Drosophila melanogaster: one gene and its partners. The protein of the gene in region 1 purifies or fractionates together with the protein of each later gene. This does not show direct contact. Each region holds a gene or a part of one and is shown in the gene's direction. Other genes may lie near its edges.

Region 1 (6,379 bases):
TTGTTGTCCGTCACCAGCTTGGCTATCAGCCACATTTGCTGCGAATATGTGGTGGTCAGCGGCGACTTCATGGCGAAGGGTCCCTTCCCCAGGACCGTTGGGCTATGCGCCAGCGAGGTGTTCGCCAGAATCTGCTGGGCGGTCAGCGATGATGTGCTGGTTATGGGCGGTCCCGTCAGCCCGATGACTATGCCCAGACCGAAGCAGGTGAAGAATCCCAGGAAGACCATGACAAACTCGCGCTTGTGCATCGAGTAGAGTCGCATATGGACGGATCGCTCGCAGCGATCGTGATGATAGGCGGGCGAGATGTACCTGCTGAAGTCGCTGAACAAATCGCTGAACTGTGAGAGGGAAGATTTGAGGCGCAGCAGGAGGCCGCCGGACGGCAGCTGGTAGGCGTAGCCCAGGCCAGAGGCATCCGCATCCGAGTGGGGCTTGGCCATGGCCGCTGGCAGGAATTACGGGTGTCTAGCTGATGCTCGGTGTCCACCTAGCCGTCGCCTTTTACTGCATCTCCTCTACGCCGTAGAACTCTTTTTTTTTCGCGTTTTTTTTACAGATTATTGACAAGTCTTCCACAATCCGTCCGACGTTTGTGCGACTTTCGTGGAAAATATCGATTTTGGCCAGCACTACTCGCATATGTTTTGACTTGCCAGTGGGGGTGGCTGGGCCATTGGGTGGTGGGCCGACCATCCGTCGAGTTGTTTGCCATTTCACATGCACTGCGCATGCGTACTCTTATCACAACTGAAGGTAAATAAAAGCCAATCTCGCAAAGGGGGGAGGGAATATCAAGCAACCGGATGGATAAATAACTTAGGAATTGGGCTTGATACACATGAATTAAATGAGCTCAATTGGAACATAATGGGTAAGCAATATAATCAATCAATTTACACATCAGTTTGGCTTACATCTATCTATGTTATTTTGTGCGGACCATTAGTCCCAGTATTTTATCTGGCCATCCCAGCCAGCGGTGACCACTTTGCTGGCCTCATGCGGATGCCAGAGGGCACTGATGCAGACGCCGTCGTGCGCCTGCCACTTCTTGTACATCTTCGTCGTCTTCCAGTCCCAAATATAACATTTGCCATCGCCATCGCCCGACACCAGATAGCTCATGTCCGGCGAAAAGTCCAGCTGGCAGGCGTAGCCAGAGACCATGTGACCGGTGAAGGTCTTTTTGCGGTTCATCTTGAAGCGATTGAGGGCGGAGAAGATGACGATCTTGTTGTCTAACGACTGGCAGGCCATCCATTTGCCATTGGGCGCCAATGTGACCGCCGGCATGGAATGCATAGTGGGGTCGGCAATGTACTTCATGTCCACAGGAATGTCCCACTCCCATATGCGCATCGATTTGTCGTCCGAGGTGGTCACAAACCGTCGGTTGTCGTCCACAAAGGTGATGGTGCTCACAGATCCCAAGTGCCGGTCGTATTCCTGTACAATATCACCGCTGCGAGTGTCCCACTGCGAATTGATAGGAAAACAATTGTAACATGAGCATCTACTTTTGTAAATTTTACTTACACAAATGATCTTCTTGTCGGAGGTGCCGGCAACGAACAAATGTTGCTTGCTATTATCCGGATGGAATTTCACACAGAAAGGCATTTTACGCGTTGTGAATCGGGACACTACATCGCCCGTTTCGGCATCCCACAACTTTATGTAGCGATCATACGAGGCAGACAGGAAGTTGGTACCCCTGTTGTTCCACGCAATATCCTTGATGGCCTGCCGGTGACCGGAGAAGGTGCGTATGCAGCGTCGCTCGCCGTAAACCTCCCACAGTTTGACGCGACAGTCCATCGATCCGGAGAGCAGAAGATGAGCGGTCTTGGGGAACCAGCGGATGGAGGAGATGCCCTTGTTGTGGCCCGACCAGGTGTGTATGTGCGCCTTGGGCAGAAAGCATTTGGTCGGTGGTGCATTCGATCGTAGATTCACGCCCAGATCATGAGGAGCATGCAAATAAGAGCGGCCCTGATAGTCGTACGCATCCTTGACTGTGGAGCAAAAAAGGAAAAGATTATTAACGATATATATTCGGTGGCTATTGGATTAAACTCACTGTGCAGCGTCGACTTCTCCTCGAGCGGCTTATCCTCGGGAATGCGTCCGCGCTTATGTCGCTTAGACAGCAGCTCGTCCAGTTCGGCGCGCTCCTGTTCATTTGGCTTTGCCACCGACACCTCGTTTTCGAACTTGCCCCAGGGACCCAGAAAGCCCTCAATGTCCTCGGGATTATCATTTTTCTCCTGCTTGCGCAGTTTCTTTGCCTTGGGCGGCTCAAATACCGTCTTGCCATTGTCATCGTACGCAGACTGCAGGTCACCCACAAAAGACTGGCCGTCCGCCTGATCGTCTACGCTGGGGTCCAATGCGTAGCCGTAGGTGTGAAAGGTGCGTCGCTGGTTCTCAAATTCGAAGGCATTGATGTGGGCCTTCTCTACGTAGCCGGCTAGGGTGTTCCGCGGAGCGCGCTGCTGCATGGTGAGGTCCGGATGCTCCGGACCTTTTACCGGAGCATACATCTCCTCATAGCGCGGATTGTAGGTTACCTCCTTGAGCGTGGGATCCAGAGTTCGGGGCACGGCCGATGCTCCAAGGGGAACCACCGTTGGCGCCGCACAAACAGCAATGGACTTGGATAGCGAGTGTGTCTTGTCCACGGGCAGCAGGTGATCCGGAATGGGAGCGGAGGGCTCTGAATTCGTGGTGGCTGTGGCGGCGTCCGCATGGTCCGATTCTTCATCCGAGGAACTGGCGTATGACTGAAGGCCCAACATTTAGAGGCTGCGGACGAACTCTGTGTACTTGTTAACGAAATGCTGAAGGTAAATCAAGACCAGAGTGTAGAGGAGGAATACGAAAACGTTAATGGATATTTCCATTCGTCTACACGTTTGCGTTTATCATTAGTTGCTTCAGTAAAAGTAACAAAAACATAAATATATATCTATCAAAACTAGGGATGGTGCGTGCCATCTGTTATCGATGTTATCGAATGGCTATGTAACGGTCTCACTAATAGATCCCAAACATGCAAGGTGGTGCAAGTTTAAAGCTTATTTTAAATTTTTTAAGTTGTATGGAAATAGTATTTGATATTTTTTTGCTCATTTTGCTCAAACACCTATTCAGTGCTGATCGATAACAGGTAAGGAAATGTTTGGCCATACGGTCATACTACATCAGGGAGTGAAGTTGCGTTGATACATTTTGGGAACTTAAGACCGCTGAAAATACCGTCTCTGTAAATTAGTCACAATGACTGCAGGCAGGCACTGGAGCTACGACAGCCTCAAACAAATCGCCATTGATGGATGCACCGAGAACGTGGAGCAGTTGAAACTAATTTTTGTCGAAGAGATTGGTTCGCGACGCAGATCGGATTGCATACGAACCATCGAGGATTTAATTGACTGCCTGGAACGAGCGGACGAACTATCGGAGTACAATGTGGAGCCACTGCGCCGGATATCAGGCAATATGCCACAGCTCATCGAGGCTCTGAGCGCCTACACAAAGCCGGAAAACATTCTTGGACATCCGGTTAATCTGTACCAGGAACTCCGATTGGCCGAGGAACTTCGTCAGCAGCTCCGTATTGCTCCAGCTTCCCAGAATGCTCAGCCATCAGTTTCGGAATTAGCTGCCGCTGTGCCTCCAACAGCAATCCAAAACTATGCCACCCCAGCTGCTTTTACGGATCACAAACGAACGATGGTCTTTAAGAAAATATCCGAGGAACTGGGTCGCTATTGGCGACGACTGGGCCGATCGGCGGGCATTGGCGAGGGCCAAATGGACACAATCGAGGAGCGCTACCCGCACGACTTGAAGTCCCAGATTCTGCGACTGCTGCAGCTCATCGAAGAGGATGATTGCCACGATCCCAAGCACTTTCTGCTTCGTCTGTGTCGCGCCCTGGGCGATTGTGGTCGCAATGATCTGCGCAAGAGGGTGGAGCAGATAATGTCGCACTAGAACGCATTCACTTATATGCACTTTATATGCATTTTGTTACGATACTAGTAATTAATGTGCTGGAGAGCGACAAAGATGTGCCTTTATTGTAATTATTCACATGTTATTCCAAGGTTGGACAGAGCATAAAAATCGCACACTAAATTAATATGTGTCAACGCGGAATTGTACGATCTTATAAGAAAATGTGATTGACGTATTCCATTCAAAATGGGAATTCACATTTCCTTATCATAAGATAGTCTACAAAAAATATTGTTAACTCGTAATACACAAGTCACATAGTTGAAGATAGCAATGTACAATGGATATAAAATACGTTTTGCAAACGCTTTTGCTTCTCTTATCCTCAAAAGACGGTTGAAAATTTGTTTACAAATAGGGTCACACCTTTTGCATTGAACTATCGAATTGGCAATTATCGATAGGCACAGCTGGCTGAATATCGTTTGCTTCGGGGTGAATGGTTAGCAACACGTGCGCGCAATATTTTATTTGAGAATTCTGTTTTTAACCATTAAACTCTATTAAAAAGCATACATAGTTAGCAATATGTCTATTCGGGAGAAGCTGCTGATGAAGAAGATCGTTAAGCGGGAGAAGATGAAGAAGGAGCTCTCGCAGAAGAAGGGAAACAAGAACGCCCAAAAGCAGGAGCCACCCAAACAAAATGGCAATAAACCCAGTAAAAAACCGGAGAAACTCAGTAAAAAGCATGTGGCCAAGGATGAGGGTACGATTAAAAACGTGTGTGCCTAATAAATATATGTAAGATTCACTTTTCGACCCGCAGATGACGACTTAGAGGAGGATTTCCAGGAGGCGCCGCTGCCCAAGAAGAAGCAACAAAAACAGCCTCCAAAAAAGCAACAAATTCAGGTGGCCAACTCGGATTCGGAATCAGATGACGATGAGCAGGAGGATGAGGCAGATGAGGATAGCGATTTGGACGAAGTAGCCGAAGTTGATGAGGAGGATGTTGACAGCGGGAGTGAAGATGATGACCAGCAGGAAGGTAAGTAAAAGTGTCGATATTTAGGGAATTCGTTCTAACTACCAATAATAATGATGATTTTTAAAGGCGAATTTGAGCAGCTCTGGTGCAGCGAGTTAATGTTGCCCAGGGCAGGCATGAAATCCATTTAAAAACCAACTGAATTATATAAAATACTAAAAAACTGTATCCCTGTGAAAACCAAAATTAACCAAGAGTACCTGTTTCAGATGAAGATGAAGAAGAACCTGTGCCAGCCAAGAAAACGAAGTTGCTTCCCAACAAGTCCAAGGCACAGAATGGCAAACCAGCTAAAGACGACGAGCCCTTTACCGTGGAATCCTCACTGGCTGCACTGGATTACCGAGATTCGGATGATCGCAGCTTTGCCTCTTTAAAGGGCGCCGTGTCCGAGGCCACATTGCGAGCCATTAAGGAGATGGGTTTTACCGAGATGACTGAAATTCAGTCGAAATCGCTGACACCCCTACTAAAGGGACGGGATCTGGTGGGTGCTGCCCAGACGGGTTCCGGCAAAACCCTGGCCTTCCTGATACCCGCCGTCGAGCTGATAAACAAGCTGAGGTTTATGCCACGCAATGGTACCGGCGTGATCATCATCTCACCTACCCGAGAGTTGTCCATGCAAACTTTCGGTGTGCTCAAAGAGCTGATGGCACACCACCATCACACTTATGGCTTGGTAATGGGCGGCTCCAATCGGCAGGTGGAGAGCGAGAAGTTGGGCAAGGGCATCAACATTCTGGTGGCCACACCGGGTCGTCTGCTGGATCATTTACAAAACTCGCCCGACTTTCTGTACAAGAACCTTCAGTGCCTGATTATCGATGAAGTGGATCGAATTCTGGAGATCGGTTTTGAGGAGGAGCTTAAGCAAATAATAAATCTGCTGCCAAGTGAGTTACGGGTAACTAAAGGTTTTTAGTGTATTTTTAAACTAACCTAATCTTTTAGAACGCCGCCAGACGATGCTCTTCTCGGCCACACAGACGGCTCGCATCGAAGCGCTTTCCAAGCTGGCCCTTAAGTCGGAACCAATTTATGTAGGGGTTCACGACAACCAGGACACGGCGACCGTAGATGGACTCGAGCAGGGGTACATTGTTTGCCCCTCGGAGAAGCGACTGCTCGTGCTCTTCACGTTCCTCAAAAAGAATCGTAAGAAGAAGGTGATGGTGTTCTTCTCGTCCTGCATGTCCGTCAAATACCACCACGAGCTCTTCAACTACATTGATCTGCCAGTGACCTCCATCCACGGTAAACAAAAGCAAACGAAACGAACGACCACCTTCTTCCAGTTCTGCAACGCGGAATCTGGGATTCTCTTATGTACGGATGTGGCTGCTCGTGGATTGGACA
Region 2 (8,221 bases), on another chromosome or scaffold:
GAGGACGACGACGACGATGATGATGACTGTGTAATCCAGGAGCAGCAACCGGTTCGCTCCTCCGCGGGCCGCCATTATTCCAGTGCGCCAACGGCACCGCAGAACAGGTGAGTGAGAAGGGATTAACGTCACATCTACACCCGAATCCCTGTTCCGTGCGCGTGATTGTGTAGGATTAGCCGACTAGCATTTGCTGAAGCCCGCCCGATCCGAAGATTCCCCCAACTAACCACACCTCCTCCTCACACAACTGTTGCTAAATTGAAACGTTTGTATTTACTTGCAGATATAATTACTAAATCTAAAGTCAATACAGTATATTTTACTAACTATCCGATAAAACAGAAACAGAATTGCATACTATAAATTTCTGCTAATTACATTCCCAACTGCGTTCAAACGAAACGAATATCGAATCGAAATCATAGAATGCACAGAGGTAGGCGGCAACTTAAGCTCTCAACATCTTTCGTTTGTTCAGTTTTCGTTTTGCCCACGACTTATTTCGTTCGCCATGATCTCTCACCCACTCACGACGTACAAATGCTTCGCGTTGAATGAACTGGATCGCCAACTAGCATAGTCCCAGACCCCCAAAAGTATTGTTGTAATCTTTTTCAACTTTTCTTCGACTCGATTCCATACTACGACAACTACCTACGACATCGACGCAGTGGCAACATTGCAACAGCAGCAGCACCAACACCAACATCCTCGCCAACAACCTACGATACAAGCAACGGAAACAACAATAACTACGTGAGCTCTCGTCGTTCGTACCTGCGAAATGGGCATGGGCATAGCCTGGCCACGCCGCGCCGCCCACTAAGGACACCCCCATCCTCGCCGCTGGCTACGGTGTCCACTTCTCCAAGGTTTGTTCAGTTGGGATCGGCAGGAGCCGGCAATACGGGATTAACCTAGTTACATAGACTATGTCAGCTTCGAACCTCATTTCTATCTGCTTGTATAGTCCTAACCGAAAAACGTCTTCGGACAGCCGAAGTTTGATGCCGGGGTTTTGTGGTCCGACAAATGGTTGACAACGCTTTTGTAACAACAACGTTAATGATTTATTGAAACCAATACTGCTTATTCTTTTCGAACTCGACTTCATGGGTAGCAACGATCTTGATCTTCTAATATACCATTTACCCAAGTGTATTAACGACATATCGCTCTCTCTTCTCTTCTCCATCAACATTTTGTACTTTCCAAATCATGCAGAGATTGGCGTATTTATAATTCGCGGTACCACCGCAAGTAGAGCGGATACAGTACCAAATACATAAAATGAAACCTATGCTAATCCAGATAAATATCATAAGTAATAAAGTCAACAACGAGAAACACTCGACATTCGGCTGTCTTCGACGTAACTACATGCACTCTACTAACCGAAGGCGCCACCAACGCTACGATCCGCTCAGCTCAGCTCCGCTTCATCGCCACAAGTACTTCGAACTTCGAACAGCAGCAACACCACATCTACGTGCCGTGCCGGCAGCTCAAGACTATGGCCGCAAGCTACGTGTAAGGCCGCACCTTCCCATACACATCTAACTCTCTGTCTGCATACTCGCATTTTGACCCGCCCGAAAGAGCATCGCCTGCCTATCCGTATAGCATGTAGACCGCAATCTGCGAGAGCCACACTCGACGATATACCACCACACTACGCGACGCCCAATTGGCCATCGACGATAATCAAAATTTGAACTATGTTGCTGCTGCTGTTGCTGCGCCACCACTGAACGACATAATGCGCGAATCCTACGAATCCATCACTCGCTTGCCCACATCATCCATTAATGCTCCCTTTGACCTTCTCTTCCTGTTAATAAATTTTCACTTGCGTTCGAATTGGCCTGTGTACGAATGATTATTATGTATACCTTTTGTTTTGTATTGTGCCTTATTCTAATTAATCGTTTCTGTTAATTAATGAACATTTGTTTCTGCTCCGCCAGCAGCATACATCCACATCCCTATGCCGCCAATCCGAGGCGCCAACAACGTGCCGTAAAACATTTTCACACGGAGGACGAAGCGGCCAGCTCCTACAAGGCGGTCAAGCGCGGCAAGAAGAAGTAGTAGAAACGTGATCATCTGTATGCCAACATCTTCCGCATCGCACACTCAAAAACACTAGGAAGCAAAGCGTTGGGTTCTGTTCCATAGCAGGAAAACCAATTCAAATATTTTTTAACAAACACAATTCTTTACCAGTTCTGTCTTATCCTGCGTGAGTCGACCAGAATGCAACACTAAAAAATGTACAACTTCAAGATGCTATTGATGTGCACGCAGGATACAGAACAACTTGCTTAAATTTACTTAAAACAAATGTGACTATTCAACGCCGAAATCATTACAACACACACTCTCAGACCTAATCGAAAAATTCAATGAAAGTAATGGAATATATATGAAATCGTAATTATAAGTTTGAATTATTTGATTAATTCTCAAGTTTTTAGATTTTGTTAGCCACTAAGCTTTAAATTATGGATGCCAGTTAGCGTGCAAATGAACACAATTGATTTGAAGGCTCCGAACGATAGAAAACAACAATTACCAATTCCCCAAATACATGTAATTCGTAAGGCCTAAGTAAATGTTAACGTGAATTTAATTAAATGGTAATTACATTATAATAGTAAATCCAGTGTTCTACTTATGCGACTTATAGAGAATTAAACGTATTAACTAACTAGTCCACCATCTCCATTTGCGTCTCCTCGGATTCCCGCCAAATGCGCTGCACCATCTCTACCAGCTGCTTCCAGAGCGCCGTCTTACGCAGGAAGTTGGCAAGGCAGACGAGAATAAAGGCCCAAGCCAGGCCCAAATAGTAATCCGTCTGCACAATGGGTTTATTAGACAGCGGCTCCATCTCTGCGCGAGTGAGGATGATCGGATCAATGGCCTGCGGATTCACAGTCTTCATATTGGTGTGACTCATTATGAAACTGGCAAAGCTGCTCTTTGTGTCCTTCCACCCGGGCTCGAATTTGATTAGCGGCCTGCCCTGGTGGAATAGCATCAGTGTGGGCAGCGAAACGATGCCGAATTCTGCATTGAAACGACCAAACTCATAGGCATCCACATAGGCGATGGGTAGCGTGGGAAAGTAATGGGGCAGCACGTTGACCATCGAAGCCACACGAGCGCACTCCAAGCTGGATGCGGTGCAGAAATGGACAAGTACACAGTTGCCCGGCTCGTGGCGCTTGGTGGCATTGCCCATGGGCTTAAGCAGATTCACTATATCCTTGGCACTGCGCATTATCAGCAGTTCCGGCTCGGATGCTGTCTCATTCTCGATATCCCGCTGCAGGCACTTCATCATAATAGGTGGCTTTCGAACCGGAGGCAGCTGGTTTAGGTGCATGATGTGCTCGTCATCCGGGGCACATGTGTGTCGCTCCTTCAGCAAGGTTTCGAAGCTATAATGGCACTGGCCCCGCGAAACTCCCAGGGAATACACCGTCAAATTTGAGAAGAGCCCGAAATACTGGAGGGCACTTAGTAATCCGGAGAGTTCCGCCTGGCCCTGCGCGGCGCAGAGCACTGTGGAAGTGGTATAATGTTACTGATTGAAGAACTCGATATAAATAAATAACGTACAAAATACAAACAAGAGATTTTGGTTCATTATATCGTTGGTTGGACAGCTGTTGAAATAGTTGGCTGTTATATGGCACTCGTGAAATACCTGGAAACTTCTTAGGTTTGGATATACCGAATAGCAAGGTAAACTGCTTGACCTTGTTTTTGTAAGCAGTGCCCATTAAGTTGGTATTTCATCGATGAAACATTGACGATGTATCGAAAAACATCGATGCTTATTTTTACATCGCTACAATAAGTTTATATTTTTACCTTACCTTATTTTCATTTTCGTCTGCGCTCGCTGGTGATTCCCTTGGTGGCATTACATCATTGGTGGATCCATTCGGATCCAATTTAGAAGCGCCACGATGACGGAGCTGGGCATGGAGCTGGAGAGCGTTCGCCTGGCGACATTTGGGGAATGGCCCCTGAATGCCCCAGTTTCCGCGGAGGATCTGGTCGCCAATGGTTTCTTTGCCACGGGAAACTGGCTGGAGGCCGAGTGCCATTTCTGCCACGTGCGCATCGACCGCTGGGAATACGGCGATCAAGTGGCGGAGCGCCATCGCCGCTCCTCGCCCATCTGCTCCATGGTTCTGGCTCCCAATCACTGCGGCAATGTTCCCAGGAGCCAGGAGAGCGACAACGAGGGAAACAGCGTAGTGGACAGCCCGGAGTCCTGCTCTTGTCCCGATCTCTTGTTGGAGGCCAATCGCTTGGTAACTTTCAAGGACTGGCCGGTGAGTACCCTGAGCTGGTGTCGCTCGCTTCTGGTGATTCACCATAGCGGGTCATTGTAATCACTATAGTTTCAGTTTCAAGCTCACTATAAGTGCATATGTAAGTATGATTGCGTAGTTAAAAAGTAGCGTAAATGAGGCCAGGAAAATCCCGGTCGAAAGTATCAATGATATTTTTGTATACAAACAAGAAATGTCTTGTTAGCTGCCTCAATTCAGCTGAATGTTGATTGATAATCCTACGAAATTAAGCTTTAATTAAGATATACAAAAATCATTATGAACTTCAAATGAAGTTATTGTATACTGTATAATTTCAAATATTTTTAATGACTGAATAAGATAGTTTAACTTTAGCCCAAAACGTCTTCCTTTGTAGAATCCCAACATCACGCCGCAGGCTCTGGCAAAGGCAGGTTTCTACTACCTGAACCGTCTGGATCACGTGAAGTGTGTTTGGTGCAACGGAGTGATTGCCAAGTGGGAGAAGAACGACAATGCCTTTGAAGAGCACAAGCGCTTTTTTCCCCAATGTCCTCGTGTGCAAATGGGCCCCCTTATAGAGTTTGCCACCGGGAAGAACCTGGATGAGCTGGGCATCCAGCCCACCACTCTGCCACTGCGTCCCAAGTACGCCTGCGTGGACGCCAGATTGAGAACCTTCACCGATTGGCCCATTTCCAATATTCAGCCCGCTTCGGCTTTGGCGCAGGCTGGCCTATATTATCAGAAAATAGGCGACCAGGTGCGCTGTTTCCACTGCAACATTGGATTGCGCTCCTGGCAGAAGGAGGACGAGCCGTGGTTCGAACACGCCAAGTGGTCGCCAAAGTGTCAGTTCGTTTTGCTGGCCAAGGGTCCAGCCTATGTAAGCGAAGTGCTCGCGACAACAGCTGCCAACGCCAGTTCCCAGCCAGCAACTGCTCCGGCTCCAACGCTCCAAGCAGACGTACTGATGGATGAAGCTCCGGCCAAGGAGGCCCTAGCCTTGGGTATCGATGGAGGAGTTGTGCGCAATGCCATCCAGCGCAAGCTCTTGAGTTCCGGCTGCGCTTTCTCTACGTTGGACGAACTATTGCATGACATCTTTGACGATGCGGGCGCAGGAGCTGCACTGGAGGTGCGCGAGCCGCCGGAGCCAAGTGCTCCTTTTATTGAACCATGTCAGGCCACCACCAGCAAGGCAGCATCTGTGCCAATACCGGTGGCCGATTCCATCCCAGCCAAACCACAGGCAGCTGAAGCAGTGGCGAATATATCGAAAATCACAGACGAAATACAAAAGATGTCGGTGGCCACGCCGAACGGAAACCTATCGCTGGAGGAGGAAAACCGCCAGCTAAAGGATGCACGCTTATGCAAGGTATGCTTGGACGAGGAGGTTGGCGTAGTGTTCCTGCCCTGTGGCCACTTGGGTAAGTCGCTGAACTATACCTTGATTGCCTTGAGCTGTAGCTAACTTCCTGTTAACCCGACAGCCACCTGCAATCAGTGCGCCCCCAGTGTAGCCAATTGTCCCATGTGCCGCGCAGACATCAAGGGATTCGTGCGCACGTTCCTTTCGTGAAGTGCATATCGACATCATTTAGAGTTCACCAGCCTAGTTAGCAGTTAAGCAAATCGATTGATTGCACCCACACAAACTACTACAGCGAAGTTCAAATTATCCGGTGATTAGCTAATATAATCGTCTACTAATCGTCTACTAAGTACTTGGCCAACTGCAGCTATTCGTTTTTACATTAGCTACGGTTGTAAGTTGTCGTTACTAACTATCGCATTGTGTCCGAGCGCATCCCTTTTGAACCATACATTATGCACGCTGAAATGACCTTATATAGATGAGCAGCTCTAATTCGCGCTGAAAAGGGTATCAATGCACCGGCACGACCGCAGATCACATGGATTTCTTGTTATAGTACTCTTATTAACACATGTATGTATTTTTGTTGATCATGTTTATAGGCCGCTGATAGTATGGTTTACACACAACTATATGCATTCTCCAATAAATGTATATGTAAATGTTAAAAAATTTGTCTTTTCAATTGCAAAAATTCTTTAAAATAATTTATTTATTTTGCTAAGTTTTAAATCCCAACGGTCTTCAAGTGATGTGCCCCGAGAGATTAGCCTATTAGCTTGCAACAGTCTGATTCCACTGCTCACAACTATCTCGATATCATCGCCATGCACGGTTCGATACTATCGATAGTAGCATCGATGTTTTGACGGCTCTACTCAAAAGTACCAAAATATTGGTATCCAAGCAATCGTTTTCAGCTCTCCGCGTGAAGTCGTGTGCGCTGCTCGTAAGGGAGCTCCATTGAGTTCTGGTCGCGAAAAACTAACAAGCTCCAACGCCAAGAAGTGCAGAAGATAGTGAACAAAATTTAGAAGAACCGAACCGAAGCTACGGGGAATTTTATGTGTGAAATCGAAATTACCAAACGCGCGCTCGTGTGAGTATATTCTGCGAGTATTTCAAAGGAAGAGTTCAAGTGTGTGTGTGTGTGTCTGGTGTTGCTGCTGCATTTTACGGAGTGTGGGCGCTTTATGCTCTTTATAGTGTGGTGTGGCAAGCAGTGGCCATATCCCCCCGCTACACCAGAAAACCCTTACAGTCCGCTACCTTTCCATTTTGGAATCTTCTTCGAAAAACACTTTTTCGTACGGTGAGAAACAAAGCGACGCACGCACACACACGTTCAGCGAGCGTTGCTTATCTAGATTGTAAGAGGGAGGGAGGGGAGAGAGAGCGCGACACGTATCTGAAAATCTCAATCTCACAAGTACACACCGTAATTTCGGTTGTCGAGCGTGCTGCGCATACGCGCTTGGCTTGATACCATTTCTCACATTTTCCATTCGGGTCAGTCGCTGGAAACAGCTGTGGGCTGTCCCCCCACCCCTTACCATTCCCTTCTAAAGAGAATGACCAATCCACCCATTAAGGTATTCCCCAGCGAACCGCAAAAGCCCAATCAGCGTTTATTTTTTATTCGGAATGATTATTCATTTAAAACTCTGGATAACCTGTATGTATGCGTGATGGTGTGTGTTGGCAATGTTTTGCAAATACATACAATTTCAACAGCGCATAAAAAAAAGAAAAACAAAAGCAGGGCGGGCTTTTTACCGTTCTCTTTCTCTTTCTTCCGCCTGCCAGAGGAGAATGCAAAAATAAACAAATAACGAATTCCCGCTATCTGGACTGCGAATGTGTTCAGAATTTCTATATCCATATATGTATGTATCCGTACACAACGTTTGTTTAGCAATTGACCCAGTGCTTCCCTTAAATATTGAACTCAATTGGAGGCGCAGTTACACGCGGTGGGCACTTTATTGACTGCATTACTCATATGCAAGTCCCAAAAGGAGGGGGATCGAATGCGAATGCCGCACCCCGTACTTGCAGCACTTATCTGTCTACGAAGAAATTGCATAAAACGTGCCGATCTCAACGTTTGATGTTTTACAAGAGTAGCTGGCATGGTGGTAGATAGCTGAAGTACAGTGAACTGGCGCTATGCGAGTCTGTGCTTGACCCACAGAAGTTACTGTCAAAACATTGCTTATAGATTTTGATTAATCACTTGTAAAGTTCATTAAACCCATTTAGGCTCATTACAAGTGATTAAGGTTTTAAGTGCCCTTTTAGCTTAACTCATATGCCTAATACATTTTGTACATCATTAAGTCACAAAGCAGTTTAAATTATGTTTTGAGCTACTTTATTAAAGAGAGTAAACCCTGCGTTTTTGTGTAGTTTTTACTAATGCCAGTTACTGTTAGCCGGTTTTCACTGTGCCAGGGCTGCGGCACCTGCACGCATCGCAGATCGAACCGTTGGAAGCCTCGCA
Region 3 (10,860 bases), on another chromosome or scaffold:
GTCAATAGTTACGTCTGAAACTAAGTTGTTAACTGAAAAAGTACTCCTAAGTAAATGTTAATAGCAATAAACAACCGAAAGTTTTTGTATCTCTTAGACGTTGAAGATGTTGAAGCGGAGTTGGAAGAAAAGCGCAAGCATAAGTATCAAGTATTCCACGATAGATTTTGAGTAAAACTACAATTCATAGGTTAACAATAATTGTAAAGGAGCAAGGAAACATTCAATAGAATTACTCGAACTTCGAAGTCAACTTGTGCCAATGAAAAAAGCCTACAAAATCCTAATGAGAACCTGCAATAAATGTGGCGTAGCGTAACTTAATAAACAATTAAATAACAAATGCGCGGAGAAGTTAGATATTTAGCGGATCGATGTGAAACTGTTACTTAAGTGCAAAACGAGCTTGTTGTCGAATTAATTTTTAAACGGATTAAACTAAGTGAATCTAAGCTAAATGTTAAATGTTTTTTTAGGTGTTCAATGTTACAATTATTTGTGGTCGAGCATCCGACGAGGAAGAATTGATTGCCCAGCCTTCACCAAATGAATAAGTTTATAAACCTGTGCTAACTCAGTTGCAAGTCAAACGACAAATTTAGCTTGAAGCAAACTTCTATCGGTTTCAGCCAACAGAGCGTTGCAGGCTTGAAAGCAAAGTTGAGAACGAACTTCCCTGACCGCCCATCTTTTAGCCCAGTTACCAATTAGCCGGATATGTATTTATCAACCTAAATGTTTCCCAATACTCGCCAGCCCGATTGCACAAAGGTAATTTAATAGGTTTTTGGTCTCTGGCGTTAAATTAATGTGAGATTCAAAGATACTTTGTAGCCACAAAACAAATTTACATGCATAAACATCACATGAAAACAAAGAGAAAAATAACAAAGTGCATGATTTTAGGAAATATCTTAAAAACAAACAAATTTTTGTTTTTCCATTCAAAACTGATACGGTTAACTCTTAACTAAAAACTGGCTAAATTATTTGCAATAAATATCTGATTTAAGAGCACATGTTTCAGGTAAATTACGTGATTTTATAGTTGGACAGTTTCAGCTTTTCCTTACAATTAGTTTTCTCTGTATACGAATTTATTTGTTTTTAAGCCATTTGGCGAGCAGGGAAGCGGAATTTCAATGGCGGGCAGGGCGAAAACAAATGGAAAGCTTTAAATTAGCTCAATAAATTGTAAACTTAAACATTTAATCTACTTAGAGCGGGTCGTTGTTAAATGCAATGCAAGTACATCTGGGACAAAGAATCACACACCTCATTCAGATTTGTAAGATACGCATTTTGGCCCAGAAAGCCATTCGAATTTGACCACAAATACACACAGGCTAAAACAGAGGCTAAAATAATCAAATTTGTCGCCAGGCAGTCACAAAGGATATTTAGTATATACAATCAAACAACAATATACTTAGTAATTGCATTTAACACATGGGGCAGAGCATATCCACTAGGTTTGCAAAATTGATTTAACTGCATGCTTAAACTAACGAAAGTAAAAAGGAGATTAACTGAATGAAGGAGGTAGGGGAGACCTAATTAAAAGAACACAACTAATGTCTATATTTATGGCTAGCTAAGTGTAAAAATGTAAGCTGAATTATTATACAAACAACTACAATCGAAGCAAGTAAATTGATGTAATTGAAATACTCGAAACGTTCTAGGGCGAAATACCAATGAATATTGAATAATGACACAGGTTAAACACAAACACGCAGCAAGCATAAATTAATGAATAACGAAATTATTTCTCGAGAAAAAAATCAAACTTTTTAGCCTTTGAACGAGAGACTTTTGGTGCCCAATCCAGTTTGAGCAATTATTTACAAGTGAAAAATGAACGAAATACAAAGAAAGACACACAAACCACACCACACACAGGCAGATGTATTGTAAATAGAGCCACAAACAAACCAAATGAGTAAATACCAAGTAGGTACATTAATAACTAATGATGGGGCTTATCCGAGTAAATCAACATTAAATAAATTAACAACGGAATTCAAACAAAAGCAGGTAACTTCAACTTCAACTTGTGTGCAAGGCATCAACTTTTACTGTTAATTGTTGCTGGCAATGCAAAACGCAACGCCGACCGAAAAACGAAAACTACAAAAATAAACCATGAAAAAGCAAAACAAATATATTTAAAATACATTTGAACGCCTTCAGCGTTTTATTCATCAAGCAAAGCAAGAAATGTTGAATCGAAAGAAAAAGTCAAACAAAGCCATAAAAGCGATAAATCAATTTGTGTCACCTGTGTAGTAAGTATATCTCAGTATTTGTAACTGAAAATGAAAAGCGTTGAGGTGCAGGCATCAACCACACAAAGAACAAACAAAATCAAATGAAAATAAACTGAATTTACAAGTGCTCTCTGACTATTATTTACGAGAGTGTGGTCCTTGGTTGGCATGTTCATTTCCCCACATTATCGTCTCAAATCAGTTGATTTCGGGGAAGCAATATTTCTCGGTAAAATGAGTAAGTATGTCTTGGACAGGTCGAAATGTAAAATATTCCTTTTTGAGGCACCATTAAAGGTACCATTCTCTGCATAACTGAAAGGAGTTAGATTGCCTACATCAGCCGGTCGAATAGGAGAGTGCGTTTTTACTCACTTTACTACTCTTCTTGCTTTTGCACTAGCAAGAAATCATTATCAATTATGCTTATGAATAATTAGGAATCCTACGGCAAGAACCAACGTTCCTAAATTATATTTAACCAACCGGAAATTAAGTCAACCACTCTTAGAGCGCCATCTGGTGAATGCTTTTGGAACCTATTAAAGTGTGGCCCGCGCACCAAAAATACCGCAACCGATAACTGGCCCCGATAAAGTACCAAACCTCGCCGATGACTGGCCACCCGAAAAGCTGTGACTCGCCAAGCTTTTGCCCATCGATCGCCACGAGCTTATCGGAATCGCGATCTGATCTGAAAAGTGGGAACGCAGCGCAGATAAATTAATTAGCAATTAGCCAGTGCAAACAGAGTGTTGTCAGCCGACTAGAAAAAGCAGCTGAGCTGATAGTTCCGCCTGTGGCCCCCGCGCTTTCGCCCTGCATCGGAACGAAACCAAAATAAACAAGCGAGTGAAAGGCGGTGGAGAAAGAGCGCGGGAGAGTGAGCGCGAAGAGTAGTCCGTTGGGGAGGAGGCGGAGGAGGAGCGGACAACGAGGCAGAAACAAAAGCACAAACGGCGGACAGAACCAGTCGAAACAAAACAACAAACCGGAGCGGACGCACTCGAAAAAAGCGAAACGAATTTATTTCTGTGCTTAGGGCGACACTGTGTGCGTGCGCCACTGATTGTGAGTGTGTGTGTTGTGTATATTTAAACAATATTCAAAAAATCATACGCCAGACGAATAAAAAACGCGACGAAAACGAAGGCGAAGATCTCCATCTCCTCTCGCAGCGGAGCAGACAGATAAATAAAAACAGAATCCGAGACAGCAACAACAACGCGACTGTGACGCGGCAAGGTGCTGGAGGTCACTCGGTCCATTTCGCACCGCACTGAAGTATAGAAGTTTAGCAGTAAAGCACCACCCCCTTCTAACCAGTTTCAGCTTCATCCGCCCGCAAAAAACAAAAAAAAAACAAGCACGCGCGATCGGAAAACTCGAAAAAATCTACAGAGCAGCACAACTCACGCGCTTCATCGTTTTATTGCTCGCCGCCCTCTCGACTGATAAACGTCAGTTGATAAATATATATCGCATCACATCGCATCCACACTAAAACAAATACGCCAGCAAACAAACACCAATTATTCCAATAAAGCCAGCGCCAAGTGCGAATGCGCCCTCGATTTGTATGCCATCAGCAGCACTCGGTGGCCCATTCCCACTACCAGCCCCACTCCCACTTCCATCACCATACCCACCGCCATCCCAATCCGCCCCATCACCATCACATTTACGGCGCCACTGACGTCAGTTATCGGCGTTATCGCACCGCTGGCATGGTGGTGGCCGAGGGAGTTATGGACTCCGGGTCGGGATCGGGCACGGGAACGGGCTTGGGGCACTTCAACGAGACCCCATTATCCGCACTGGGCATCGAGACCCGCACCCAGCTGTCCCGCATGCTGAACCGCAAGAAGGTGCTGCGATCCGAGGAGGGCTACCAGCGGGACTGGCGCGGCATCTCGGAGCTGGCCAAGCAGAAGGGATTCGTCGACGAGAACGCCAACAATCCCATGGATCTGGTGCTGATCAGCTGGAGCCAGCGGAGTCCCCAGACCGCCAAGGTGGGCCATCTGGAACACTTCCTGGGCATTATCGATCGGTGGGACGTCTGCGACGATATCCAGGAGAATCTGGGTAGGCATTAACTATTTTTTACTTATGGTAGTCGCTATCTATCTATAACTAAACTATGTCACTTGAGTTTTGAGTATCATTTGTTTTAGATTAGCTTTTAAATGATGGTCTGACGATTCGACTTTTACTTCAAAATGCCATCGTGACAGTGAAAATTTAGTTAAACGTCTAGACTAACTATGTATGTTTGACTGTTCTCGAGTTTGCGAAGTTGAAGAGGAATTTTAAATAATGTACTTATCAAATGATATGTACACAAATGTTGGAAATCGGAAAATGAACCATTAAATTTTACTTTAATGGCGAGCCACACTTATCAATTATTTTTGGCTGATCCATTTTTGGTTTTATGACCGGAAAAGCCGTTTCGAGTTTATAAAAATGGACGTGGTAATCTATATAATATAGGGAGTATATGCAGAAAGCGTACATATTTAACTTATCTATCGCACATTTATCTAAGTCAAACAAAGCTTATCGTCGGATACATAAAACTATTGAGTTATGATGAGTAGATACGTAATGACAGAAATAAAAGTCACCCACTTTCCCATGATTAATTTGTGTTTATTTCTATTTATTGTCAAATAAAACGCTTCGACTTACAAGATTTTTATTACCACATCCCGACAAATTGAAAAACACACAGCCATAAAGAAAAAATTCAAAACAATAATTTCTAAAAGCCGCAAACAACAGAACTTAAACTATAGAAAATGCCAATCAGTTAAGAACGAAATTTTCTTATTTATTTGCACAATGGGGATTCACCCAGCAAAAACTGTTGTCATTAATAAAAAACCTCGAACAGTCAATTTTGTTTAGGAGCAGATGTTGTATAGATATATTCGTTGTGACCAAAATGGTTCGATTTAAAAACAAATGAACGCACTCGGAAGTTGAATGCTTAAGGTATAAAAAAGCACACATAATTAAAATCGTATTAGGAATTTTTCAAAGGAAATGTTTGAATTCCTTTTCTAATGATCTTTCATTGGGTGTTTTAGAAATATTCCAATAAAACTAAAAATAACTAAAAAAGTAAATTTTTTATAAATGTGTCGTTGATGATAACTGCTTGAATCTAGAATTCACTACCTCTTACTAGAATGATCTTTTCTGCTGACAATATATTTGGAATAAAAAGATGGGGAGACAATGGCAGACATCTGAATGGATATATGCATACACTTATCTATTCATACATAATATTGAGTTACAAATCATAAATACTACCAATTTGTTATGAAAGCTTCATATATTAGCGACTGTGTGCAGAAACTCAGATAAACTTCACTATGCCATTCCTTTAAGCTCATTATATATCAACAAAGGGTTATATTTATTATTTAATAAACATAATTTAAGTAATTTGATTTTGACATTAACATGTATAAATTGTGTTGTTTACTTTACGAATGATGTGTTAAGAAAACTTTTTGTGCGGCCTTGTAGTTTTTAGCAATCATAATCCCTTTAGTAAAACTGTTTTAATTTTGCTCTCCTCAAAAGCCAAGGACACCCAGCGCTTCATCATGAAACAGGAGCAGCGACAGACTGCTCTCGTGGAGGCGTGTCCGCCGCCCCCCAGCGACTGCTTCGAGACCAACAACAACTACAGCAGCAGCAACAACATCACAGTGGGCCAAAGTGTGCAGATCCTCAGCGACGAGGACCAGAGATGTGTACAGATGGGCCAACCGCTGCCCAGATACAACGCATGTGTTCTGTACGCGGAGGCAGACATCGATCATGCCACCGAGATCATGAATAATCTAGAGTCTGAGCGATACAATCTCAGGGTGAGTGGGATGCGCTCGGTTGCTGTGTGTTGTATTAAATAACCATGGGATCGTTCTATTGCAGCTATTCCTGCGCCACCGCGACATGCTAATGGGCGTTCCGTTCGAGCATGTCCAGCTATCCCATTTCATGGCCACCCGCTGCAATCACCTGATCGTCGTGCTCACAGAGGAGTTTCTTCGGAGTCCGGAGAACACGTACCTCGTGAACTTCACCCAAAAGATCCAGATTGGTGAGTAGCTGATACGCATTTGTATCGCAGAGCCAGAGTCGCATTACAAGTTCAACGATCTGACTTTCCCCAGAGAATCACACTCGCAAGATCATACCGATTCTGTACAAAACGGACATGCACATACCCCAGACCCTGGGCATTTACACGCACATCAAGTACGCCGGGGACTCCAAGTTGTTCAACTTCTGGGACAAGTTGGCTCGTTCCCTACACGATCTGGATGCCTTTTCGATCTACTCCACGCGCCAGGTGCAGACGTAAGTGTTGCTACTTCCTGCGATATATGTATATGTATGTGTTCCAAAAATACTTGATACATTTTTAGGGGTATAAAATCTCAAGATAATGTAGATTGCTAGCCAACAGATAAATGAGGTTTGCAAACTGAATACGAATACATGAAGTAGTCTAGTCATCCCAATTTAAGAAGCTGTTTTAGAATACATTTTATTAGCTTAAGTTTTTGATTTTACTGTTCAATTATTGCTACTGCTGGTTGTAGGGGCTGCGAAATCGTTTCACAACATTCACATAAAATGTGCAAATGTATACCAACTGCTTGTAAACAAAATATATAAGCAAATATCACATGGCGTACGAGCGATCAACCTTAGAACAGCCTAGCAGGTATTTTTATTTAGTTTTGCTAAATTCAAAGAAGATACGTTTGTTTCAGAAAGATGAACTCATACGACTTTTAAAGTGCCCAGGAAGTAATACACTGCATATGAGTAATCAAATTTGAAACAAATTTATAAACAGGAAATAAATGTATTATATATCTGGGCGTAAGATTATATTGAAGCGAAATTAGTTTTGCTGTTAATTGTAAAACATGTTGGAATTTTATCACTCATATCATAAATTTGGCATTCTCTAAAATTTCTTTATGCAGTCCCTCGCCGGTGGAGGAATCGGCTCCCCGGGTGACCACTCCCAGCATTCGGATTCAGATCAACGACAAGGATGTCACTGATATGCCAAACTACAACAGCTGCAAAGTGCCGGAGGCGGAGACCACAATCGTTTCGGTTTCCGGTGACACCGGCTCACCCCTGCCGGAGCACAAGCCGAAGAAAAAGGATCGCTTCCTGCGCAGAATCACGCACAGCTTTGGAAAGACGGCGCGGAGCGATGGGGCCAGCGGCAAGACTCTGCGTCATGCCCACTCCGTCAGCACCATAAATGTCACGGAACGCGAGAGGACACTCAGTGCCAGCAGCTCCAACATCTCCACCACGTCGGAGAGCAAGAAGAGCTTCATCAAGTGGCAGCCGAACATCCTGAAGAAGGCCCTATTCTCGCGATCCAGCAGCAAGCTGCAGACGCCGGGCTGAGATCATAGTGTTAGGATAGCCATTCATTCGATTTCTCGATTCTTTGATTCCTTGTCGTGTGCCCAGTCTAGTTGTGGCCGCCCAGTCACCAATGTCGTCACCCTCCATGCCTAGTGATAATCTTTAGCCTAATCCTTATCAAGTCAACTAACTTAATATACTTAGACGCACTTGTTAACTTATATAAGACAACAACGAATAAAGACAATACCACATATCCGCACAAATGTATCACAAAAGCACACAGACTACCAAATACGACACGATATTGCTATATGCTCTATGTATATGACTCTGGACTTGATAAACAGACAAATTGGCAATTGCGTTGAGTGAGGTTAAATACGCGACACTGCTAATCGAAGTGCTCAATTAACTGTTAGTCACGCGTTCGATAAGTGACTTACTTAATTTAATTATCTCGCGCGCCGTTCTCGCAACTCAGACCCCATCTGAGAATGAGTAATGAGCATATATAACGCATACGTACATATGGCTGCATTGTGCGAGCAGTGCTTTATCATTTTGTAAACTGCTCAAGCCGTTTTAGACGATTGCTAGCAATAAGTAAACTGTTTGTTCTCGGTACCGCCATCGGCTGGTTGCCTCATGTGATTAGCTCTAGCCTAGCTGTTACCGATTGTTACTGATTGCTGTGAATGCGTGCCCATATGCCTGATGTGCACCTAAGCACACTCACTTGTTATAAAGCAAAGACTATCAATACGTCATCCATCATCACATCGTCTCTTTCAATGTATCTAGAGTCTATATAGTATTATATGTATCTCCGGACAGTGCGTTTCAAAACCATATAGAGTCGATCGACAACCATATATTATGTCCAACTTTTGTCAAGCGACAACGAATGTGGATAAAACGCAATATACATATGTTCCTCAATGTCGGGCATCGAACGCTCGAACTTCGACCTTCGCGACACGTGGCACTTGGCGGTCATGGTTATGAAACGCACTGTATCCATATCGGAAATAAGCTAGCTCCAGTTGAGCGGCAATAAACTGTTCAATGTTTGGCTCAATAATTTATTGTTGAATGTAGACAACCTTTAGTTCGTTCATGTTTAATAAACATTGCAGTTGATGTGTGAATCCCCGTATATGTATTTACATACAGTTGTTCGCGTACATATTGAGTGGAAATGTTTATCGACCAGTTCCGGTTAATCTACAAGACAGTTCGAATCGGTTTAAATTTTTTGTATTTTTTTTGTTTTATTTATTTTCGTTTTTTTATTGTTTAAATCGTTTAATGTTTTAATAATAGCTCCTCGCTCACATTCCTCACTTTATCGCAACCTGCGTTAATTTCGCTCTCTGTGTGTTACAATTTACACTGTGAACAAATATGTTTTTTTTTTAGCCTTACTGCTCCTTGCGACTTGAGCTTGTTCTTTAAACTTTGTTTTTTTTTTTTTGTCTTGTTTTGTTTTGTTTCGTTTCGTTACTTTTAATTGAATTTATGTTTTTGGGTTTTGTTTGGTTGCTTCTCTGCTCAATGTGTTTTGGTTTTTATGTGAGTGTGTGTATTTATAAATCGATTTATATATGTTATTAATTTTATCTGTCGTTTGTTATCCGCTTAGCTTGGTTTTCCTTTGTTAGAGTTATTTTAATGATTTCATTATCGTTTAACAAAATTAATAAAAACAGTTTGTAATTTGTTTGTTCTTTGTTGTATGTATATGTTAATTGATCAATTTATCGTAATTCGCATATTAAAACAATGTAACGCATGATGTTGCATCTTCTGCCTCGACTCGCGCTCTATGAGTATTATTTGCAAATTGTTTCGTAGCTTAATTAATGCCTTCTGGGGATGTCTTACATTCGTGTTGACTTGTTATTCATCTTATAAATCTAACTGATTGCATTTACACAGAGTGTGTGACGACGAGTCTGAGTGGAGGGGCAGGGAAGGAAAGGGAAGGGTCAGAAAGGGGCGGGGCAGGTTGGGTCAGGATCGTGATGTGGAACTGGAACTGGAACAGAACCTATAGGTTATTACTAACTCAACCGCAACCAAGGTTCGTGTATGTAAGTGTGTGTTTGTTCGTTTAAAGCGTTATCCTCTATAGTTAAGTGTTAACAATGATTATGATTATGGAAGTCAGCTGAAGAAGTCTGTATCGGTTTTGAAGTTGAGTTACCATCATATTGCGAGTTCCCGTCTTATAACTATGTTATGCATAGGTATTTCCGTTCTACCTTCCTCTCCTCAACCTCTATAACTCGACTCCCCTCCCTCGTACTCCGTCCTTTAATCATACATACATACACATGGAGATATATTCATCATCGAGTTTTGGGTCGCTTGTCGTTCTCGACTTACTAATAAATTAAAACAACGCTAATGAATTTTTTTTTCGTCTCGCTAATTGTGAGTTCTCGTTTAACGTTCTTCTTCATCGCCTGCTCCGCTCTCCACTAACTTTTCATTTATTATCGTTATCAATCAATTATCAATTTCAATTTTCATTTATACATACTAGGTTTTCATTTAATCTTTTTTCGCTTCAATGCTTTAGTTTTGTGCCTTGGACAAATGTCTGTTAAAAGTCGCTTTCTTATTCCACTTCTCGATTCCGTTTTACATTTAAGTTAGTTTTGGTTAGATGGGAGTACAGTGTTGGCTGATCTCAGCATAAGGTCTTAGGATCTAATTGCGCAGCGGAAGTTTCTAAATCGAATGCACACAGATCTAATCCAGGACACAGTGACTAGCAACGTAGACCAGCTACGTTTGCAATGGACTACCTATGACGACCCTTTCTGAATAGCAATCCCAAGTGGGAGATGCCTTAACAATAAGAACTCAAGTCTGCAGTAAAAACAAGTCTAAGTGACATTAACAAAACAAGTCGAACAATGATGTTATAATAATTTTCAAATATCAACTATAAAGTATAAACTAGGAGCATAATATATTCAAACAATTCAGAGAATGTTTAGGTTCATTGGTTAGTTTACCCACACTAAAACGTACGTGCTTCCTTTCGATAGTATTATATTCATTACGTTGGCACATCCATCGCCTAAACCTTCCATGTCCTTGCCAAGAATCCTCCAACCCAGTGCTCTCTCAATTTATCCCGATTGCTTGATAC
Region 4 (7,457 bases), on another chromosome or scaffold:
AACAAGCTGAACGAGCCATGCAATACTAATCCCGATGGCTAATGATAAATTAAGTGCAGGAGAAGCGCGGAGTTGGGTCGGAACACAAAACAATTGGTCGTGGAACTTGGTCACGCTGGCTGGGTTAACCGCTTCCATGTAACACCCAAGATCAATGTTCTATTTAAAAAGGTAAATATGGTAAAAATCATTTCATAAGTGCCAATCGAAGGCTAGCTACAACTATATAAATCTTGCTCCTGGAGCAGAAGGGTATACTGCATTTGTCAGCTAATGGGTATCTAATAGTTGCATTTGGACATAATGTGATGGCCTCACCTGCTGCTCCTTGTCTTTCTTCTGCTCGCGCTCACGTTCTTTCTTGCGTTTCCTTCGCCTGCTGCTGCGAGTTGACTGAAGAAGGGGATTGGCGGTAGCCAGTCCCTCCCCGGATCCCTCCAAAGACTGATCGCTCGTATCCTGGTTAGACGAACGCATGCGGGGCATTGGGGGCTCTATGCCCTTCTTCTTGAGGGCATTGGCAATCGCCAACTCAATGCTGCTAGCATGGTCATCTAGGGAATACATCCAGATTAAACAAGAAGAATCAATGAAACAACTGAATGAGCTTTCACCTTCTAATGGGCGAGGCTTTTTTGACTTGGTGCTGTTGCTGTTTTGGAGGCAAACGGCATCTGTCGATGGTCCCACGTAAACGACATCTTCGTCGTCATTTTGGTTCTTAGCCTCGACACCCACAAACTGCACATCGTCGTCCCCTACGAAAGTCTTCTTTTGGACTTGGATTTTTGAAGATTGCTGCTCGTCCTCCTCATCGTCGTCGATCTCGCCGTCCTCTAAATCCTCCTCCAAGTCAATTAAGGGTTCATCCGCTAAAGCGACAGACATTATCGATTTGGCAGCTAATCTCTCACAGGATGAGATTGGAATAATTGGTGCCCTTAAAAAAAGTGGCCTCCCTCTTCTGTTGCTGCACTCTTAAGTGTTTGGTATTTGGAAAAGCTGTTGATAAGGGATCGGATTTTGAATACCATATATGGATGCATAAATATGTTTTAAGGTCAAATTCCCAATCTAATCATATATAAGGACGTCTTATAATTTGTCTTAACGTCCAATTACAATATAAAATGGTATCTTAAAATAAAGCAACTGCTAGTATTAACTAAAAAGGTGGAATGTACCATAATACGCTTCTAAGTGAATAAAAACGAATTAATAAATGTAGTTTAATGCCCCTTATTCTTTTTTTCCAAAATCATTCGGGGATTATTTGAATCACCCCATTGGCGGTCAAAATTTTGAACACAAATGAAAGGAATTGGTTAACACTAAAATCAAGCGTTGCTTGAATAAATGCTACATTAATGTTTTTGAGGTAAATACAATATAAAATGGCTGGTATCACAAATGACTACGGATTCAGAAGGCACGTCCAAGTACTAGCGACAGAAACTATTGACTTAAGATAGACCACCCGGATCATACGATCCTGATGCATTCAGTCAGAGTCACTTTGTAGCGTGGGCAGCATGGCTGCGATGAATGTTTTGGGCACCCTTCCTTATCTCAGCACTCGGAAAGTTTGAGCACTTTTCGCTGACAATGGTTGGATTGCTCTTTGTTGGTTGGTTTAAGTGGGATCGGATCGCTTAGGTTTAGCCTGGCACTTAGCTAGTTCCAAAGTGCAGCAACAAAATAATAAGCAAATCAGTTTGATGAATTAAAGGGTATGGGTCCTGGACATGCTTCCAGTATAAAATAAAAGTGATCAACAAAGTTGCGCTAGCACATTTGTTGTGTGGAGAGAACGAGAAAGGAAAATACACTTTTTACAATTGGCTTAACATAAAGATTCAGTTATACGTAGTTTTGGACAGCGAAACAAATTCCAGAATCCGAAAAGCGAAAGTCGAAAGCAACGGAGTGGCTTTCCATTGAGCCTAGGAACAATGGGGAAGTCGTAGGCGTTTGCCTTTATTATTGTGCGTAAGCGGAGTGAACCGTTATGAGCCACACGCGCATATGTACATGTGTATGTAAATGCTCGTAGCATTGTACATATGGCGCGGATGCGTGTATATATTTGGATGTAGCTGATGGACGGAATCATTGCGATTGATGAAAATAACAAAATCCAATGCGTCTCACACACGTGCATATAGAGCGCGTGTTTAGTTCTGACTCGCGATTGCCAAGCATGTCGACTCGCTCGCACACTCATGATCTAAGCAGGGCATACACACACACAGCCGAGGCGTGCAGTGCGAGTGCGCGTGTGTGTGTCGACTGCGAGGCAAAATGTTTTTGTCTTTGTTTATACATACATACATATATTTTACAGCGACTTCAAAGCGAATTTGAATATAATTGTTACACTTGAGGTGAAAGTTTTTGTTTGGTTTTCGGTACGATTTGTTTGAATGCTCTGTAAATGGAAGGCGTTCATGCGTGTGGCTTCCCTGCTGCGCAGTTTCCACTTGCATATGTACGTACATACGAACAGCAAAAGAAAAGCACGCAATTTATCTTTTTGTTTGGCTGGCGTTCCAAAATCAAGTGTATGCAATTTAAAAAATTTGCACCATCTGTCCCTTTCTAGCACCCACGTACGTGGGCGTGGGGAGACATGGCCCCGAGAAACATACATACATACATGCATACGCACACATGCATATGCATTGAAGTACATACAAAAATCTGGGAACTACTTATGCCATACAAACATTTCATTTGTTCGATCTTACTCTCTTAGCGTGACTGCTTTATGCTTTTTTGTGGAACATTAACAACTTTTCGGTATTTGTTATAACATTGCTGTTCGGTTTTCGGTTTATAGATGGGATTTTGTTGGTTCGTTGTTTTGCATTTCGCATTTTGCTTTTCGGATTTTCTGCTTTAGTGTTTTGTTTGCGTCGCTGCTTACATAATGTGGAAGTGGTACAGTAGGTGGATAAATATATACATATATATAGAGGCATACATGTATGGGATATAGCAGTGGCCTCACATAGATGTGTATATACATGCATATGTATATATATGTTTGACATACATCTGACTTATACGTATTTGATGACGAAGTGGTTGTGAGGTACATAGATAGGTACGAGACAAATCGTCGAATTTTTCGCCAGTTTTCGTAAATCGAATAGCGGCTTTAGTTTTTTCTTCTGATACTATATGTATGTACAGATTTATATATATGTGCGTGAGGCAAGCGCGCGCTCTCGCTCGCACCCGCTTGTAGCTTGCTTTCGCCCTCTTTCTCTGCCTGAGGGCCCCGTATCTCAGTATCTGTCCCTTTCTCTCTGTCTGTCTCTGTTACGCTCATGGACAGAATACAATATACAAAAACATTAAATTAATAAAACTTTTCGTCCAAAACATAATATTCAGGAGTTGTGTTGTTAACAGTTCAACAGATCGACTTAAACGAACTAGAGGTGTGGAAACATAAAAATACCAGTACATCGATATTTTTCGCAAAGAACATATCGTCGTGTTGGATGATATTAGTTAATCGATGTTTTTACCTAGTATATTTGGTATTTCCCCAAAAACCGTGAACGCAAGCTTACTTTTAAAGCTAAAGGCTCGCTGGCTGCGACATTTTTAAATATTAACCGATTGTTGAACCGGTTGTTAAACTTCTATATCAAAAAACTACATCATCTGTTTCTTAAGTATAATTAATAGGTAGCACCCCGATCTTTCGCTATTGCAGAAAACATATCCATTTATCGATATCGATCGGTGGAAGCTCTTCAGGCCACGGCTATCGGATGTCAGCGAGTGCAATTTATCGGCCATTTCCTAAAGTGAAACATTTTTGTATATTCCCGATCGCCATGGCCGGATCAAACCTGTTGATTCATCTAGACACCATCGATCAGAACGATCTGATCTACGTGGAACGTGACATGAACTTTGCCCAAAAGGTATGGCACCTCCCTGGGAGGACTTTTCGAATATGACTCAAATGTTTTACACATCCGCTAGACCAAAGTGTTAATTAAACAGTAGAACCTTCGTTTTCTTCTAGGTGGGCCTCTGCTTTCTGCTTTATGGCGACGACCACTCGGATGCCACCTACATTCTGCAGAAACTTTTGGCCATGACACGATCAGACTTCCCGCAAAGTGATCTACTCATAAAGTTCGCCAAGTCCCGGCCAGAAACCTGGAGAAGACATCTCGTGGAGGCCCTGTGCATTATTGGGGCCCGCAAGGTGCTCCGGAGACTGGGTTTCTGCTGGCAGGAGCTGCGAATGCACTACTTGCCGCATATCGCTGGGATCACGCTGCATGTCCATCCTCTGTTGAAGAGCCTCTACAGGATGTGTGAGGAGTTGTCGTTGGTGCAGAGTGGCCGCTTGCTCCTAGATGTTCGCGAAAAGGTGGAGAGCCAGCAGGCAGGAGATCCACTTCGCTTCTACGATCCCGCGTACCTGGAGATCTTTTTGCTGGACTGGCTGACCAGAAGGAGCATAAAGTTAGGGGACATAAATGCCGCAGGCAGCGATGTTCAGCTGCTGGTCGGCCATTTGAAGTCCAACGGTCTGCAGGCGCAAGCAAATTTGCTCAAAGACACCATCATTAGTAACGCTCCGGAGCCAGATGCGGCTGGCACTGCTGCGATGGCAGTCAAGCAAGAGATTGAATCGGATAACCAGCAGTCGTACTGTTCCACACAAATAGATGCTCTTAAGTTGACCCGGGAGAACGCAGGAATCGCCTTGATTATCAACCAGCAGAAGTTTCACCGGAATGTTAGCAGGGATAATATGGTTTCATCTCTGCAATATTGAGTAACAAAAAGAAGTACAACATTGCCCTTCTCCACAGAAATTTCTGTCGCCCGACCCACTGCGTAGACGGGATGGCACGGATGTGGATAAAGAACGACTAATCGAGGTGTTTTCCTCGATGGGATACAATGTGGAGGCGTACGACAACGTGGATCACATGGGCATCATAGAGCGCATTCGCAGTGCGTGCGATAGATCGCTCGTGCGCGATTCCCTAGTGGTCTTCATCCTGAGCCACGGCTTCGAGGAGGCCGTCTACGCATCCAACAGCATCGCCATGAAGATCACGGATATCGAGGACTTGCTCTGCAGCTACGACACCCTGTACTACAAACCGAAGTTGCTAATCATACAAGCCTGCCAGGAGAAGCTTGTCCATAAAAAGAAGCCAAATGAGCTCGTAAGGAGATTTATAAGCATGAAGTCGTCGAATGGGAAAGCCTATACATTTTCGTATTCCTCTTTCAGTTTAGGATAGACGTGACCACCGTGTCGCCGGACCAGCACATCGACATGCTGCGGGCCATGTCCACGGTAAATGGATATGCTGCTCTGCGCCACACCCAAACAGGTAGCTGGTTTATCGGGAGCCTGTGCGATGCCATCGATCGCCGTTCCGCCAGGTAAAAAGCTGCCAAAGCAAGCTAGCCCCGAATTAATGCATAAGTTGTTCTTTGTTACTTTAGTGAACACATCGCCGATATCCTGACGATTGTCACCAACGAAGTGTCTAAAAAGCGAGGCAGTAATGACGAGTCCATGGTGCCGAATGTTAAAAGCACATTTCGCCAGCACGTGTACTTTCCACCTCGTCTGTGATTTTGGTTTTTAACGTTAGCGCAGTTGTACGTCCACTCAAATTGCTCTATAAAGGTAAAAATACATTTTTATAAAGTTTAGTGTACTTTTGCTATTTTTTCAATGACTTCAATACTAATTTAGTACTTTTCGTCAGAATTTTTTAAAGAACAAAAAAATTAATAGTATCCTATATTATGCAAGATATTTATACATCTAATTGTAAGGTTTCTTATTGGGGTGTTTCCTTCTTTTACGTTATGTGGACTCTTCATCTTCCACGACCATAGGTTTGGCGGCTGCCTGCTTCTTCTGCTTCGCCACCTTCTTGTTGGGTTGAAGATCCTTGGCGACGAGCTGAATTTGTTCACGCAGTTTCTGCCACTTCTCGCCTCCTTGGGCGAGGATCTTAAGCAGCAGATTGAGTTCCTTGGAACTGCTAGCCTTCGTTTCTAGCTGATTTACATATCTGGCTATCTGCTTCTCAAATTTCTTGGAAGACGAGTTGTTGTCCTTGAAAGCGACTTCGAGCCGGCGACCTTGCTCGCTGAGCAGCTTCAGTATCTGTGCCCGCCGAAAACTGCGTGTTTTCTGTACGTCCAAGTGAGAGGCCAGGACAACGGCCAGCGGAGCAACTCCCTGCCATTGGCCAGACTGAAAGAGGGCTTCGAAACTGGCCAGAGAGAGGCGACTACGTCGCTTGGCTACCCACAGCTCCAGGAATTCGACTAGAAGGGGCCAGACGGCACTTTTCTTGGGCTCGCCATCTGCTGATGCCTGGCTGACCAGGTAAGCGAAGCACCTGTCCCGCCAAATAATGATGTCTCTTTTGGCCTGTCGGCTGGCGGGCTGCTTGCCGTTCTCTTGGTCCTCTTCTGAATGCTCCTCGCCAGACGACATCAGCTGCTCAATGGCTTCCAGAATGGGTGCGGTGCTCTGATTTTCCTTGAGTTCGATATTCCTAGCGAGTATCTTTTTGAGCAACTTCAAACTGGCTTCTCGCAAGGATTGTAGTTTGCTGTCTGCGGCGCAATGGCTGTACACCTGGAACACGCAATGTAGCACGTCCAGGATTACCGATTGAGTTGGTTTCTTGGTTATGAAGAGCTCCAACAAATCCAAGGCACGAATGCGGAAGTGCAGCAGGTTGGTGCTATCAATGCGTTCCGATTTGGTGGGACGCTCCTTCTCCTGGGCTTTGCGCGACTTGGGTCGGAACATCTGAAAAGACCGCTCCAAAGCAGCATTCAAGCGTTCGCCCTGCTCCTCGTCCACATCGTTCCAATCCACGCTGCTGGCGCCATCGTCATCAGCGTCGCCATCGTTGACCAAAGCCTGGCGAACGCTCTCTCGAATTTGGGCCAAATGGGACTCTGCATCGTCCTCGCCCTCGTCCTCCTCTTCATCTTCATCTTCATCTTCTGAATCATCGCTTGAATCCTTCAACGATTCTTCCTTGTCGAGTTCGTCATCGCTCTCCTCCTCGCCATCGCTCTTTTTGCTCAGGGGATTTTTGTTCATGTTGAGCACTTCGAGGACCTGTTCTAGGTTACCGTGCTCAAGGTGCGGAATCAAAGCGGTGGCCACCAGTTGAACAAACTCCCGCCAGAAGTGACCTGTTTGCAAAAGTAACTGGAGTAGGGCATCTGTAAGCACGTCCTGCCATTTGAGCTCTTCGTTAACCTAGAGCAAACCAGTTATTTTAGATTTAGGATGACATTGAAGTATAGGTTCTCTACTTACTTGCTCCTTGCTCTTTTGCAGTGCATTCTTACGGCAGATAATCAGATCTTCCAACACGGTGATGGATGGGGGAATCTTTGTGCACAAAGCCAAAGAAACAAACAGG

Evidence for each region.
Region 2: the proteins of Fadd (region 1) and Diap2 purify together in Drosophila melanogaster (affinity purification with western blotting; 3 studies listed by BioGRID). This does not show direct contact.
Region 3: the proteins of Fadd (region 1) and Myd88 purify together in Drosophila melanogaster (affinity purification with western blotting, with the first as the bait; one study listed by BioGRID). This does not show direct contact.
Region 4: the proteins of Fadd (region 1) and Dredd purify together in Drosophila melanogaster (affinity purification with western blotting; 5 studies listed by BioGRID, with this or other methods). This does not show direct contact.

Annotation. Positions count from the first base shown.
Region 1 is NT_033777.3:22,031,278-22,037,656, forward strand, and holds Fadd (Fas-associated death domain), read left to right. Parts: upstream 1-3,177; 5' UTR 3,178-3,285; coding exon 3,286-4,005; 3' UTR 4,006-4,340; downstream 4,341-6,379. Other genes in the region: CG13409 (uncharacterized protein), read right to left, coding at 1-446; CG6015 (uncharacterized protein), read right to left, coding at 949-1,482, 1,543-2,021, 2,087-2,804; CG45099 (uncharacterized protein), read right to left, coding at 2,805-2,909; pit (pitchoune), read left to right, coding at 4,558-4,738, 4,799-5,020, 5,230-5,916, 5,975-6,379.
Region 2 is NT_033778.4:15,930,333-15,938,553, reverse strand, and holds Diap2 (Death-associated inhibitor of apoptosis 2), read left to right. Parts: upstream 1-3,728; 5' UTR 3,729-3,756; intron 3,757-3,836; exon of another isoform or gene 3,837-3,973; 5' UTR 3,974-3,983; coding exon 3,984-4,355; intron 4,356-4,734; coding exon 4,735-5,770; intron 5,771-5,833; coding exon 5,834-5,922; 3' UTR 5,923-6,384; downstream 6,385-8,221. Other genes in the region: Mlf (Myelodysplasia/myeloid leukemia factor), read left to right, coding at 1-107, 675-875, 1,974-2,094; bug (bunker gear), read right to left, coding at 2,714-3,573, 3,631-3,658.
Region 3 is NT_033778.4:9,300,767-9,311,626, reverse strand, and holds Myd88 (Myd88), read left to right. Parts: upstream 1-2,904; 5' UTR 2,905-3,832; coding exon 3,833-4,358; intron 4,359-5,870; coding exon 5,871-6,160; intron 6,161-6,224; coding exon 6,225-6,393; intron 6,394-6,466; coding exon 6,467-6,653; intron 6,654-7,291; coding exon 7,292-7,733; 3' UTR 7,734-8,804; downstream 8,805-10,860.
Region 4 is NC_004354.4:631,878-639,334, reverse strand, and holds Dredd (death related ced-3/Nedd2-like caspase), read left to right. Parts: upstream 1-3,789; 5' UTR 3,790-3,851; coding exon 3,852-3,941; intron 3,942-4,026; exon of another isoform or gene 4,027-4,045; coding exon 4,046-4,789; coding exon of another isoform or gene 4,790-4,810; exon of another isoform or gene 4,811-4,847; coding exon 4,848-5,210; intron 5,211-5,278; coding exon 5,279-5,433; intron 5,434-5,496; coding exon 5,497-5,629; 3' UTR 5,630-5,713; downstream 5,714-7,457. Other genes in the region: su(sable) (suppressor of sable), read right to left, coding at 319-554, 615-888; Mybbp1A (MYB binding protein 1a), read right to left, coding at 5,867-7,291, 7,352-7,457. UniProt on the Drosophila melanogaster protein: Effector of the programmed cell death (PCD) activators rpr, grim and hid. May play an apoptotic role in the germline as well as soma. Fadd interacts with Dredd to promote cleavage of Dredd and is necessary and sufficient for enhancing Dredd-induced apoptosis.